Linked DNA regions of Drosophila melanogaster. The gene in region 2 interacts genetically with the main gene of each other region. Each region holds a gene or a part of one and is shown on either strand. Other genes may lie near its edges.

Evidence for each region. Genes that interact genetically often act in the same process or in processes that back each other up.
Region 1: of chp (region 2) and prom, changing one suppresses a phenotype caused by changing the other (phenotypic suppression), as found in Drosophila melanogaster (one study listed by BioGRID).

The regions. Positions count from the first base shown.
Region 1 is NT_033778.4:24,425,388-24,430,100, forward strand, and holds the start of prom (prominin), read right to left. Parts: upstream 3,001-4,713; 5' UTR 2,523-3,000; intron 615-2,522; 5' UTR 587-614; coding exon 298-586; intron 1-297. Other genes in the region: CG15873 (uncharacterized protein), read right to left, coding at 4,218-4,571, 4,625-4,713.
Region 2 is NT_033777.3:31,204,707-31,212,642, reverse strand, and holds the start of chp (chaoptin), read left to right. Parts: upstream 1-1,912; 5' UTR 1,913-2,379; coding exon 2,380-2,382; intron 2,383-2,923; coding exon 2,924-3,160; intron 3,161-3,286; coding exon 3,287-4,000; intron 4,001-4,098; coding exon 4,099-4,274; intron 4,275-4,573; coding exon 4,574-4,708; intron 4,709-4,793; coding exon 4,794-5,022; intron 5,023-5,081; coding exon 5,082-5,691; intron 5,692-5,745; coding exon 5,746-5,876; intron 5,877-5,931; coding exon 5,932-6,188; intron 6,189-6,245; coding exon 6,246-6,387; intron 6,388-6,446; coding exon 6,447-6,805; intron 6,806-6,863; coding exon 6,864-7,287; intron 7,288-7,350; coding exon 7,351-7,592; intron 7,593-7,652; coding exon 7,653-7,839; intron 7,840-7,904; coding exon 7,905-7,936. Other genes in the region: zwilch, read left to right, coding at 1-460, 518-1,013, 1,075-1,329, 1,391-1,458. UniProt on the Drosophila melanogaster protein: Required for photoreceptor cell morphogenesis. Mediates homophilic cellular adhesion.

The sequences.
Region 1 (4,713 bases), on a different chromosome or scaffold from region 2:
GACACCACTAATAAAACATTTAAAGAAAATCCGAATACGAATCGACATAATTTATGCGGACACAAGTTTTTCCCTGTGCACAATTTATATGAGGTCTTCCATCTGGGTTGAATAACTTGCCCACCTATCAAAGGCTCTCCTGAATTTACATCTCTAATGCCTTCATTGTTGGCAAGCAGACGTTCTGAATACCAGCCCACACACCTGGAAACCCTTTCCCCGATATCATTCGATCCTACACGGGCACAAGGATGCAGGACCACGCCCTCTGCGAGGGGCGGACATGGAGGGACTTACCCAGCGGCAATTCCTCGGGCGTGATAAGCGATAAAAATTCACTAACGTAGGTGAATATAAATGGTCCTGGCGCAATGTCCATGCCTGGTATGCTGTAGGTAAAAAATGTGGCTGGCGTCGTTGTTGGCGGCGCCGTTGTTGTTGTTGTGGCTAATGCTATTGTGGATCCGGTCAGGGCGGACGTGGTGGGTCCTCCAAGGGATGCGAAGCCCGCCGACATCGCTGCTGATGACGAGGACATAATTGTTGTTGCGGCTGGCGTTGGCAGTGTTAGATTGCGCTGGTCCATCTTCGGCCGGATGGCTTGGTTCTCCGCCCTGCGAATGAATTAATGCGGAACAGGCATGGCCATGAATAGTCGGGTAGAGCGCGGGAGCGCGGAGAGGCGGAGGGGCAGAATGGAGCTGAGCCGTATCGGGCCAAACAAAAACCAAACACTCACATGGTGCCCCGGAGAATGCTGTAAAATATTCCCGGAATTTTATGTTCCAATTATGCATTCATATGTATGTTCCTACGCTTCGGGTTCCAAAAACACCCAAGTAACTAGCTGGGCCCCTAGTAACTCACGAAGATTATGTGACATTCGCCAAATTAATGAATATTGCAGCTTCGTGGGGAATTCTCACATATTTCCCACACAAATTGTTTCTGTGGTACCTAAATTTTGTTTATTAAATACGAAGTGACCTAACCCCACTAGGAGCGGTCTGTATGTAATCTTCATCAAATTACGTATACGCCGCGTATGTTACACATTCTGCAATGTTTCACTATCAGGATAAGATATATGTCACATACTAATAAACAAAAGTACAATAAAATATCATTTAAATATTGATATTGATTACTTTACAAAGCAGCTTGGTTTGCTTTATTAAGCATACGCAGCGTGGGCGGGAACTGAATTCCCGCCAAGGTTCTGTTCCATTTAAGTGGCGTCCCTGAATGTCGCCGTGAATTGAATTCTTCACCTCTTAATTCTATTAATTTTCATTTCAGTTCTCGCTTTGTTGCAATCTTGTGCTGTCTTTGCCCTTTCCAATGCTGTCAACACACAATCGAGCTAAAAATCGAGCAAACTAGCTAGCCAAAGGGTCTCTCTTTCACCTCCTGCAGTGCACACATCAATGGGTAATGACTTTCAGAGACTGTAAAATCACTCTTTCACTGTTTTCTCTTTTCTATTTTTCGGTTCTGGGAGCAGACATCTCTTTCGGGCCTGGACAAGTACGGACACCCCGGCAGAAGCCCCTCAAGTGGCCGTTGCAAGCCCAACTCATTTGTTTTCCTTGACAATACCACGTTCGCCGTTTGCCGCCTTTATCGCCCATTCATGCTGGCCAATGGCCATACTAATTGCTCTGCCAGGGGACTTTCCGAATTAGACCAAACCAATACAGATGGCTGGCCGAACCTAAACAGTCTTGAGCTAGAAAGTGGGTCATTAAAACTCGATACGCCGATGCATTGCGTCCCCACCCCGTTCGCATACGTGTGTGTGTATGTGCGTATGTTCGTATGTATGTGCCATCTCCATCTGTATGCTCTGTATGTGACCGCATGTGCGATTATGTTAGCCAAGTGGACACGAGTCAAGGCGCTCGAATGGGCTGGCCAAGCTCTTCGAAGGCAACTCGATACGCAATGTGCGGACTTGTTGTCGGCTATTATCTCCCTATTATTGTAGCCATTTCTCTCCTTGTTAGAAAGATATTAGTGAAAGCCGTTCAATGATAACAGGAGGAGTATTATGGATCGAGGTGGCAGAGTTCAATGCATTGGGTCACGCCGAGTAAAAGGCTTTCAGAACGGCTTAGAGTGGAGTTATTCACGTTACTAACGGTACGGTGGATAATAAAAGAAGTTCGATAATGGTTGTGCGGCAGCTCATGGGTGAAGTGGTACTTAGCTAGTACAAAGCAAATTTCATCGAATTCCAAAGTTGAGTGCATTCTTTTAGGCGCAACTTTCAAAGATGCAGTAAGCAATTGAGTGTTGCATACTTACTGGCGCCCAAATTATTGTTGAAATACCAAAATACCTACCAGAATGGAGTTTTGTGTGTTACCTCGTGTATAACATTGCCAACATTTAAGACCCACATCAACAAAGTCAGCAGTTAGTTCGGATTAAACATAATGAGTCAGACTTAACGCCCCAGTTTGTGCTAATGCACCGCATTCGATTAATTAACGAATTGCACGGCAAACGAACTTACGCACCTCGTTCGGGATCCCAATTAATTGATTGATGTTGAATCGGAGCCCTTTCTCTCTTTCCCTCCTCGCTAAACACTTTCACACACTTAACACAGGCAAATATGGCGTGATTATGGGTTTGACTTTGCGAACCATGCTTTTAATTGAACGTTATTTAAATTCGATTGCAATTAGTTTGATATGTTGATTCGATTCGTTTCGATTCGATTCGTTTGTTTGAACGTTTCGTTACCGAAACTCGGAATTGAGTTGAAATCGGTTCGTAATTGAGCGAATTGGAATACGGGGATACGGCTCACGTTTATTGACCGTTTGCGATTTTGCGACTATTTTTCGGTGTTTACATTGCATGCAATCAAGCCGACAATTATCACCCAATTAATTATTCATTTTCACATAATTAGTATGAATAAGGAATGTCCTGACTCGGCTTCCACCGTAATTCTACCACACAGCTCGACCAGCGTCGTCCGATGACTGAACGGTGAAAAGGTTTTAGGTCCCAATAATCGGCAAAGAAAACTTAGAAATTTTTACCTGTTTTGCCATTTACATTAAGCGAGCAGCGAGTGAAAATGCAAAAGAGGCGCATGGTGAATATAGACAGTTGGTTGCCCATTTTCTTTGCCCGGGGGAAAAGCACGTGCTGCTGAGGCGGGAAAACTACAGCCGGATTCCCCCAACTCCGGAAAAAATAATTTTTTATACCGGGTGTAAGAAAGTCATTCTTCAGCATTAGCTTGATTTAGTCAGATAGCTTATGATGAGGCAAGCGCACATATGTAATATGCATATTTGCAGATATCAAGTGAACAGTGTTATAGAATATTTGCGGGCCTGGAAAGATGCTCAGAGATTTAAGCCCCCTCTAGATGCCAGGTTATGCTGCACAGCCTGGCTAAAAGCTCTTTAGTTTTCGTGGAAATGACAAATATATCTCATAAGAACTAACGACCAATTTCGCAGTTTTGTTTGTGTTGGCGGCAGGCGCCTTGAGCTTTGCATTAAGTAGACTTTGCTTTAAACTTGCATCAACGCCAAGCCAGACAAAGTTTTGCCATCGCTGAAAGCCGAAAGCGGAGCGGGCTAAAGTTAAGCACCACGATGACGGGAATTCGAGGAGGGTCGTCATTTCTCCTGCATTTTCCCCAACATATTGTCAGTGCTCGCAGCGGGAGGCGCCCGTGACAACGACAACGAAAACGAAAACGACAACGACATTGCCTGGGCGCATCCGCGGCAGAAGTGCATTTCATGGCTAAAATTCAATTTGCCTATGATTTATGCATTTTGCGTCAGATTCGCACGCCAGTCCGGAGAGGATTTCAAACTTAAAGTCAGCCACGATGGCCCCAGCTCGGCTCCTAACCGGAAACATCCGCAAAGGTGCATCTAGTTTGGTGGTTACGATATCACCACGCCAACTTCCTGTCCCTCGGGTTCTTTGTGTGCATTTGTCGTCCTTTGTTCGGTGTATCAATGTCACATTTGGTCACAAATGACTCGAGCAGAAAGGCAACTGCGGTTCCTTTTGGTGCGACCGCCAAATGTATTACCATCAAAGGTAACTAGGCAAGGGAAAACCTTTAATAGAGGTGTATCTATGACCATGTAGTAATACATTTAATTTTCGTTGATATCTGAACTCAATGTGATGCCGCACATTCTTCTGCAATTTTCTTCGCTTTATTTTGTATATCAATTTACGAGAATCAGTAGCAAGGGAGTAAGAAAAACACGACTTAAGGATACTCTGACCCCGCAGTCGGAAAGGGATTGGATGGTGAGAAGAATCCAGTCCTTGTAGTACAGAAAGCTGAGGAACTTCATGGCCTTGCCGCCCGCGCATCCCATGTGTCCGCCAATGAGCCCGAACAGAGCCCCCTTGCACAGCAGGGGTCCGCCCATGTCCCCGGCGCAGTTCATGCTTTCTCCCACGGGTTCCGTGCACACATTGTGGTCCGCGGTGAAGGTGTCGTAGTGCTTCTGACAGAGCGAGGGCGGCCTCAAAATCACGTCCAGGTAGACCAGTTCATTCGAATATGGGCCGTGCTGGGGAGAGTGGCATTACTCCATGGCGCTGAAACAGACATGGGTTGGCTCACCTGGTATATCTGCCCCCAGCCAAGTGTGATACATGTATCGCCATAGGTCACGTTAGCCGTCTTGCGCATAAGCAGCGGGAGGACATCGT
Region 2 (7,936 bases):
GACCTCTAGTGCTGCACTTCCGCTCCTGGTGAACCTGAACGACTGCGATGTGGCTTTGAATCACACTTTTCGCGTGGGCGACTGCGGTCCTTTGACGCAGGACTTTATGAATCAGCTGCGCATTCTGGTCTACATACGCGAGGACATCGTCTCCTACCACACGGATGTCAAGCAGGGCGTCTCTCGGGATCCCACCTATCGTTGTGGCAGTGGCATTGACATGGACGAGCTGCGCGAGTCCATTAATCAGACAATGACAGATGTCTCTGGCCTTATAGGTCGGTATAGCATCAGCAATGCGGAGTTTGACATCGAAGATGTGGTGCAGAGGGCCAAGGTTCGCCAGCTCACGGATCTAACCGATAAGCTTTGGGAGCTGCTCAAGTGCTGCCACTCCTACAAGGATCTCAAAATTGCCTTTAGTATGCTCTTCCAATGTGCTGCACGGTGTAACATAGTAGTAAGTATGCTAATGCATGCAAACCACCACATATTATTCATGTTCCTCACCCCATAGAACACGCCTACTAACAAAAATCGACTTGCCAAGATTATCACCGAGTTGGCCAACCGTCGTCTGGCCATGCCTTGTTTAAGTGGGGCCGAGCCTCTGGAACTGCTTTTGGAAATTGGCCTGGAGAAGTTGTACAAGGACTACGAGTTTATCTACACCGAGAGCAAGATGTGCAGCACCAATCTGTTGAAGGATGACTCCAGCGGAGCGTCGATGGACGATGGTTCTCCCCAGAATCTGCCCCAGCTTCGAAAATCCCTGCACAATGCGGTCAGGGGTGATCCGACCCCTGGAGCTGGAATGCGAAAGACGCTGCTGCATCATCACGGCGCTGTCAATTCGCGGAGTACAAAATATGCCGGTAGCGACGATGATGCTGGGTTCAAAAACAGCCATTTCGACGAGCACGAGAGTACGGAGAGAATCTCAAAGTTGTTTCAGATTCACTGCACCTTAGAGCATCTCCTGATGATGCACATCCACTTAAATCTGGCAAATGGTAAGAAGGACAAAAAGCAGATCCTGGGATTTTTAGCTATAACTCCGTTTTTGACCTACAGTTTACAACGATGTCTGTTCTGAATTGCTGAAGAAACCGCCTAAATTAGTAGAATCCATCGATGATCAGCTAAGTGATGTTATGGACATTCGCCTGTCTGCCCACTATGTGAGGGATCACTTGGATGGCAAGGATCCCTACTCCCGGCACATTACCATGCGTTCGCACAACAAGTTCCGCGAACTAAAGACCACCTTCTATTTCAATTCGGAAAACATTTGTCCGCCGAACTTGGCTCAGTGTTTCCAGTGTGATGGTAAGTTTGCTTTTTGACTTGTTTATTTTCTATAGCTATGGTAATATATTTGACTTCGCAGACAAGGAGATGGTCAAGGAGCGCACATATCATTCCTGGATATATCACAAGATTCGCTCACTTAAGTAAGGCTTGCTTAGTAATACAAAATTGTACATTCTTTAAATTTAAGCATGGCTAAGAATGGTTTAAAATGGCCTTTTTCACATTGTAATAATTTATTTAATGGATATCTAGCAAGAATGTCCCTTAGCTGCATAATGTTTTGAGACACATTTAAAATGTTGAATTTTTTCAAACACTGCTTGTTGTATTATTAAATTAAATGCCTTTTGGTTATAACTTTTCAAACTTTTTTTCTATCGAACCTTTTTGTTCGGAATTTTAATTGTTTGAGCTTGTTGAACACGCTCTTCGACGCGTTTTCGCAAACCTCCAAAAAAGTCAGCAGTGCACACCGAAATCATGTTAAACGAACTCGTACAAGTTTTAAGCCGACCCAGAGGCTATTGCAGCTGCATTGGGAATCTTGAAAACCTGGCCGAAATCCGCTTCCGCCCTGCTCGCACTTTTATCACAGTGTTTTTGCCGGCCATATTCTATACAAAGGTCAGCATGACCAGCATTTGGCCATTCCTCCAGTGAAGTAATGCTGCAAATGAGGCGAAAAGAGTGTGTGCCCAATGGTGACGGCGCCATCGAGCATTCCCGATATGTTACAATCCAATTAGCCGGATGCGCCAGTTGGCCAACTAGAGTACTTGGCCCGTCGCTGATTGATTTGCAGTTTGTCAGACGTGCGTGGAACGCGCAGCGGTTCGGTCGTGTTTTTTCCAGCCCTGTTTTTCCCCTGAAAAGCGAACGGAATTTCAAGCAAGGATTTCCACGCGAGTGTCCTGGCCAGGGAATATAGCCACTGGGAGCTGGAAATCAAATCAAATTTTTTGGACAGTTGACTAAAGAGTGAAGAGTGAACAGTGCCCGTGAAATCTTAATTAAGTTTGTTTAAATCGCCAAGTGTCGCGAGTGTCTAATTTAATTTACAGCAAAATGGTGTGTATTGGCCAACAAAATGGCCTGATATCCTGCTAAACTAAATCTAAATTGCTATTGAACTACAAAAGAGGACATTTGATAATCTATGCGAGTAGCCCTTGAAGTGCCTAAGTCTTGCGACTTAAAAAAAACCATGGACGGATTCAAATCCTGTGAAATGAAGACACCCCTTTGGTCTAGTCACCCCTGAACTTATCCTCGGAAACTTTTCCAGACACAACAGCTAATCCTTTTGCGAAGTCGTAGTGAAACTGCTAACAGGCTTGAGAAGCCATATTAAAAGTAAAAAGTTAAACGTCCTGCTGACGTTTTCATAATCTATTTAGCTGAGAAAAAACTGATCCTTTGCAATGCGGGCTAGAATTCAATTAAAGGATATTATTTAATGGATACTATTTTAAGATGATAAACCTATATCGTTCTATAGATATCTATGGATACTATAAAGCTGGTTGGAAAACTTTCTCTTGTGACTAAGTGCTAGTCTTCCTATAATTAGTCATCCCAGTACCCAGTACATTATCCATTCTATCCCTAGGGCCTCGAATTTTTCTTTAAGTTCGGCTATGCCTTCCTGACTATAACGCTCATGATCATGATCTGGATGTCGCTGGCTCGCGCCTCCATGTTCGATCGCGAGATGGAGGAGACGCATTACCCGCCCTGCACCTACAACGTGATGTGCACCTGCTCCAAGTCCTCCACGGATCTGGGGATAGTGCACTGCAAGAATGTTCCGTTTCCGGCACTGCCGCGCATGGTGAACCAGTCAAAGGTGAGTCGTAAGATTAGCTATCTCCATAAATCAACACTTTTAGTTCTGGTCATACCCATTTAATTACCCATAACCACCACCACATTAATTTATTAACTCCGATAACTGGAATGTATTCTGGTTTAGGTTTTCATGCTGCACATGGAGAACACAGGTCTGCGGGAGATTGAGCCCTACTTCCTGCAGTCCACGGGCATGTACCGCCTAAAGATCTCTGGGAACCATCTCACCGAGATCCCAGATGATGCCTTCACCGGCCTGGAGCGATCGCTGTGGGAGCTGATTCTGCCGCAGAACGACCTGGTGGAGATCCCGTCCAAGTCCCTGAGGCACCTGCAGAAGCTGCGTCATCTGGACCTGGGCTACAACCACATAACGCACATTCAGCACGACTCGTTCCGCGGCCTGGAGGACTCGCTGCAGACGCTGATCCTGCGCGAGAACTGCATATCGCAGCTGATGTCGCACAGCTTCTCCGGGCTCCTCATTCTTGAGACCCTCGACCTGAGTGGGAACAACCTGTTCGAGATCGATCCGAATGTGTTCGTCGATGGAATGCCGAGGCTGACCCGTCTGTTGCTCACGGACAATATCCTCTCGGAGATTCCGTACGACGCCCTGGGTCCGCTAAAGAGCCTTCGCACCCTAGATATCTCCCACAATGTGATCTGGTCGCTCAGTGGCAACGAAACCTACGAGATCAAGGCCAGCACCAAGCTGAATCTGGACAATCTACACCTGGAGTACAATCACATCGAGGTCCTGCCTCCCAATTCATTCAAGTACTTCGATACCGTCAACCGCACCTTCTTCGATGGCAATCCCATTCACACTCTGAGGGTAGGTTAACTAACCCTTGTGAAACTTAACTGGACGAAAATCCCTCCCAGAAATTTGATTTATAAATAACATATTTGGAACTTACGGTTCGCTTTCAGGAAGATGCATTTAAGCCCGCTCGAATCAGGGAGATCTACATGCGCTACTGCGGCCTGACCAACATTTCGCCTGTGGCCTTTGACAGCCTGGTGAACAGCCTCCAGATCCTGGATTTGTCTGGCAACAATCTCACCAAGCTGCATCATAAGCTCTTCAACAATTTCGATGTCTTGAGGTGAGTCGAGCACCTGCACTCCGATTCACTCACGTTCTGCCCCCATTCCATTTGCACATGTGCATATTGGGGGGAACTAATCGGATTGCCGGCAGCCTCTAAGGCTTCTCAAGTTCCTAAGTTCGTGTGTGCGACAAGTGGGTGACCCTATTTAAAAGAATTCGAGGAAGAGGGAAAAGCCGCGCAATCAGGCAATCTTGCAAAAATACGCGGCACTGAGAAAAAGCTTGATTTGCATAGCTATTATTGAATTTTATAATGGTAAATTATAATTCTATACATTTATTTCTTAATAATAGGGTCATCAGCATGCGGGACAATAAGATCAAGATCCAGAAGCCCACGGAGACCTTCAATGCGGTGCACTACACCCTCCTGAAATTGGACCTGAGTGGAGACCGCAACGACCCCACCAATCTGCAGACCCTGCGCAAGTAAGTGAACCCAGTGCACCGAGAAACATCCTGCTCCCCACACACCCTTCACCCCAGAACCACTCTTGTATTTATTTACAAAAAGTATGACCAGAATGCGGAACATGAGATCACTGTCGATCTCGCGCCTGGGATCCTCCTCCGTGGGACCCGAGGACTTCAAGGACTTCGGCGTGGAGCTGGAGGATCTGCAGATCACCAGGGCCAGTCTCTCCGGGATTCAATCGCACGCCTTCAAGCACGTTAGGGGTCTGAAAAGGCTGGACTTTAGCGAGAACGGAATATCAAGCATAGAGAACGATGCCTTCCATGAGGTTATTCAGGATTTTCTTAATATAATTGGGCTCACTTAATAAAAAAATCTATTTTTTAGATTGGTCACTCGCTCATCTCTCTGAAGATGTCGCACGGCTATTCTGGCAGTGCCCTGCCAGCTGAACCCCTAAGGCATCTGACCTCCCTCCAAGAGCTGGACTTTAGCAACAATCACATCAGCAGCATGAGCGACACCAGTTTCCATTTCCTGAAGAACTTGCGGCTCCTAGAGCTTCATGACAACAGGATCGAGCAGGTTTTAAAGGGCACCTTCCAGGGCGACATTCACTCAAAGCTGGAGGAGATCTCGCTTCGCTTCAACCACCTGACCTCCATATCCCAGCATACCTTCTTCGATCTGGAAGCCTTGAGGAAACTGCATCTGGATGACAATAAGATTGACAAGATCGAGCGAAGAGCCTTTATGAACCTGGATGAGCTGGAGTATCTAAGCTTGAGGGGCAACAAGATAAACAACCTGGCCGACGAGTCCTTCCAGAACCTACCGAAACTGGAGATCCTGGACATGGCCTTCAATCAGCTACCCAACTTCAACTTTGACTACTTCGACCAAGTGGGTACCCTTTCGAATCTTAATGTGAACGTGAGCCACAATCAAATCAGGCAGTTGATGTACAATTCCTCGTGGAGTGGACGAAATGAACATGGTAGGGTCTTCTTTACTAGCAAATCTCCAGTTTGTTAATAGCTTCACTATACAGGTGGCATGTACCACTCGAATATTAAGATATTGGATCTTTCCCACAACAATATATCTATTATCCATCCTGGATACTTCCGGCCTGCTGAAATTTCGCTGACACACCTACATCTGGGCTACAATTCGCTGATGGTAAAACAAATTGTATGACTTTGTTACCAGCCTTTTATACCCTTTGACCCTTTAGAACACGACTCGTGATGTCTTCGGCAACATGCCCCACTTGCAATGGCTGGACCTCAGCTACAACTGGATCCACGAACTGGACTTTGATGCCTTCAAGAACACCAAACAGCTCCAGCTGGTCTTCTTTGGCCACAATTACCTCAGTGACATTCCCCAGGATATATTCAAACCTGTCCAAGGCCTGCGCATCGTTGACTTCTCGCATAATCACCTGAGGGGCCTGCCCGACAATCTCTTCTACAACGGAGGCATGGAAAAGTGAGTAAATAACTATATAGTCAATGTATGGACATAATGTATTCGTGACTCTTAAAGATTGGATGTGTCGCACAACATGATGTTGAAGATCCCCTCCTCATCGCTGTCCAGTTTGGCTGCGCTGACGCTTTGTGAACTGCACCTGTCCAACAACTTTATCTCTACCATTCACAGCATGGATTTGTCCAACAAGTTTAGAGTAAGTGAATTGGTAAAACCGTTTAAAATTATAAGACACAATCTTAATTGTGACTATAGTCCCTGCGCTACCTGGACATCTCATACAACTATCTGCTGCGAATTGATGATGCAGTGTTCGCCACCATGCCAAAACTGGCCGTTCTGGACCTCTCCCACAATCGGGATCTGAAGGTGATGGATAAGTCGTTTATGGGCTTGGAGAACTCGCTGATCAAACTGGGCCTGGAGAACATTTCTCTGAGCACGGTGCCCGAGATTCGACTGAAGTATCTGCGGGAGTTCCGCCTGGGTTACAATGAGCTGCCCTCGATTCCGCAGGAACTAGCCCACAATATGAGTAATCTGCGCATGCTTGATCTCTCCAACAACGACTTGACCAATGTGCCACTGATGACCCAAGCTCTGCCCCACTTGAGGTGCGTTAATCCAACTTGGTAAATGGTCTATCTAATCAGTATTTGCAATTTACAACAGACGTCTGATGCTTTCTGGCAATCCCATAACCTCGCTGAACAACAACAGTTTTGATGGCGTGAACGAGGATCTTGAGATGCTGGATATATCGAATTTCCGGCTGCACTACTTCGAGTATGGCTGTTTGGACTCGTTGCCTCACTTGCGATCGCTTAAGCTCACTGCCTATTCCCACCTGGAGCACTTTAATATTCCACATCTGTTGCGCCACCATTACAATATCCGCCAGTTGTGGATCGAGGCCCCACAGCCCTTCACTCGCATTGTTAAGAAGGGATCTGGACCCACCCAGGAGATGCAGACCCTTCAGCTGGGCAATCCCACCGACTTGCAGCGCGAAATGGAGGGCCATCTGCCCTCCAAGCTGACCAACATCACCTTCAGTGGTCCCCAGTTCACCAACCTGAATGAACGCATTCTAAGAGTGAGTAATTCTTCCAACTCGATGTCTATATAAGCTAAAAATTATATATTTAATTTGATCCAGGGCATGCGTTCTCCATACCTCTACATGCAATTATTCAATACCTCGCTGCAAGCCTTGCCTCCGAACTTTTTTAAGTACATGGGCCGAGTTCGGAACATTTCGCTGGACATTCGCTACCACAACAGGAACCTGAAGAAGATTCCCAATCCAAACACTGGAGCTGTTCCCTATCTGCCGAATAGTGTGTTCCTCACGGACTTGAAGATGTCTCACACCGATCTCAACTGCGATTGCGACCTAGGGTAACGCCTGGTTTTCTTATTGTACGATATTGAATTGCAAATTATAATTTGTTTGTATAGGTGGGTGGAGTTTTGGCAGCGCAAGAGGCGCCAGTACATCTGCTCCTCCCAAACCTGGACCGATACCGTCTTCCGCACCTTCATGAACTCACCTTGCCAAGTGTACGGACGTCACAACTGCGACGAACACGACGATGACCTGAGGGAGACGCGCTGTGAGAACAAAGGAGGGCAACAGCTGATGGAGGTGGGTATCCGATGGAATATTGCCAAGGCATATGTCGCTAATCGCTAATCGCTATCCCTCGATAGGCCCTCAAATTCGATCTGGAGTGCGGGTGGGA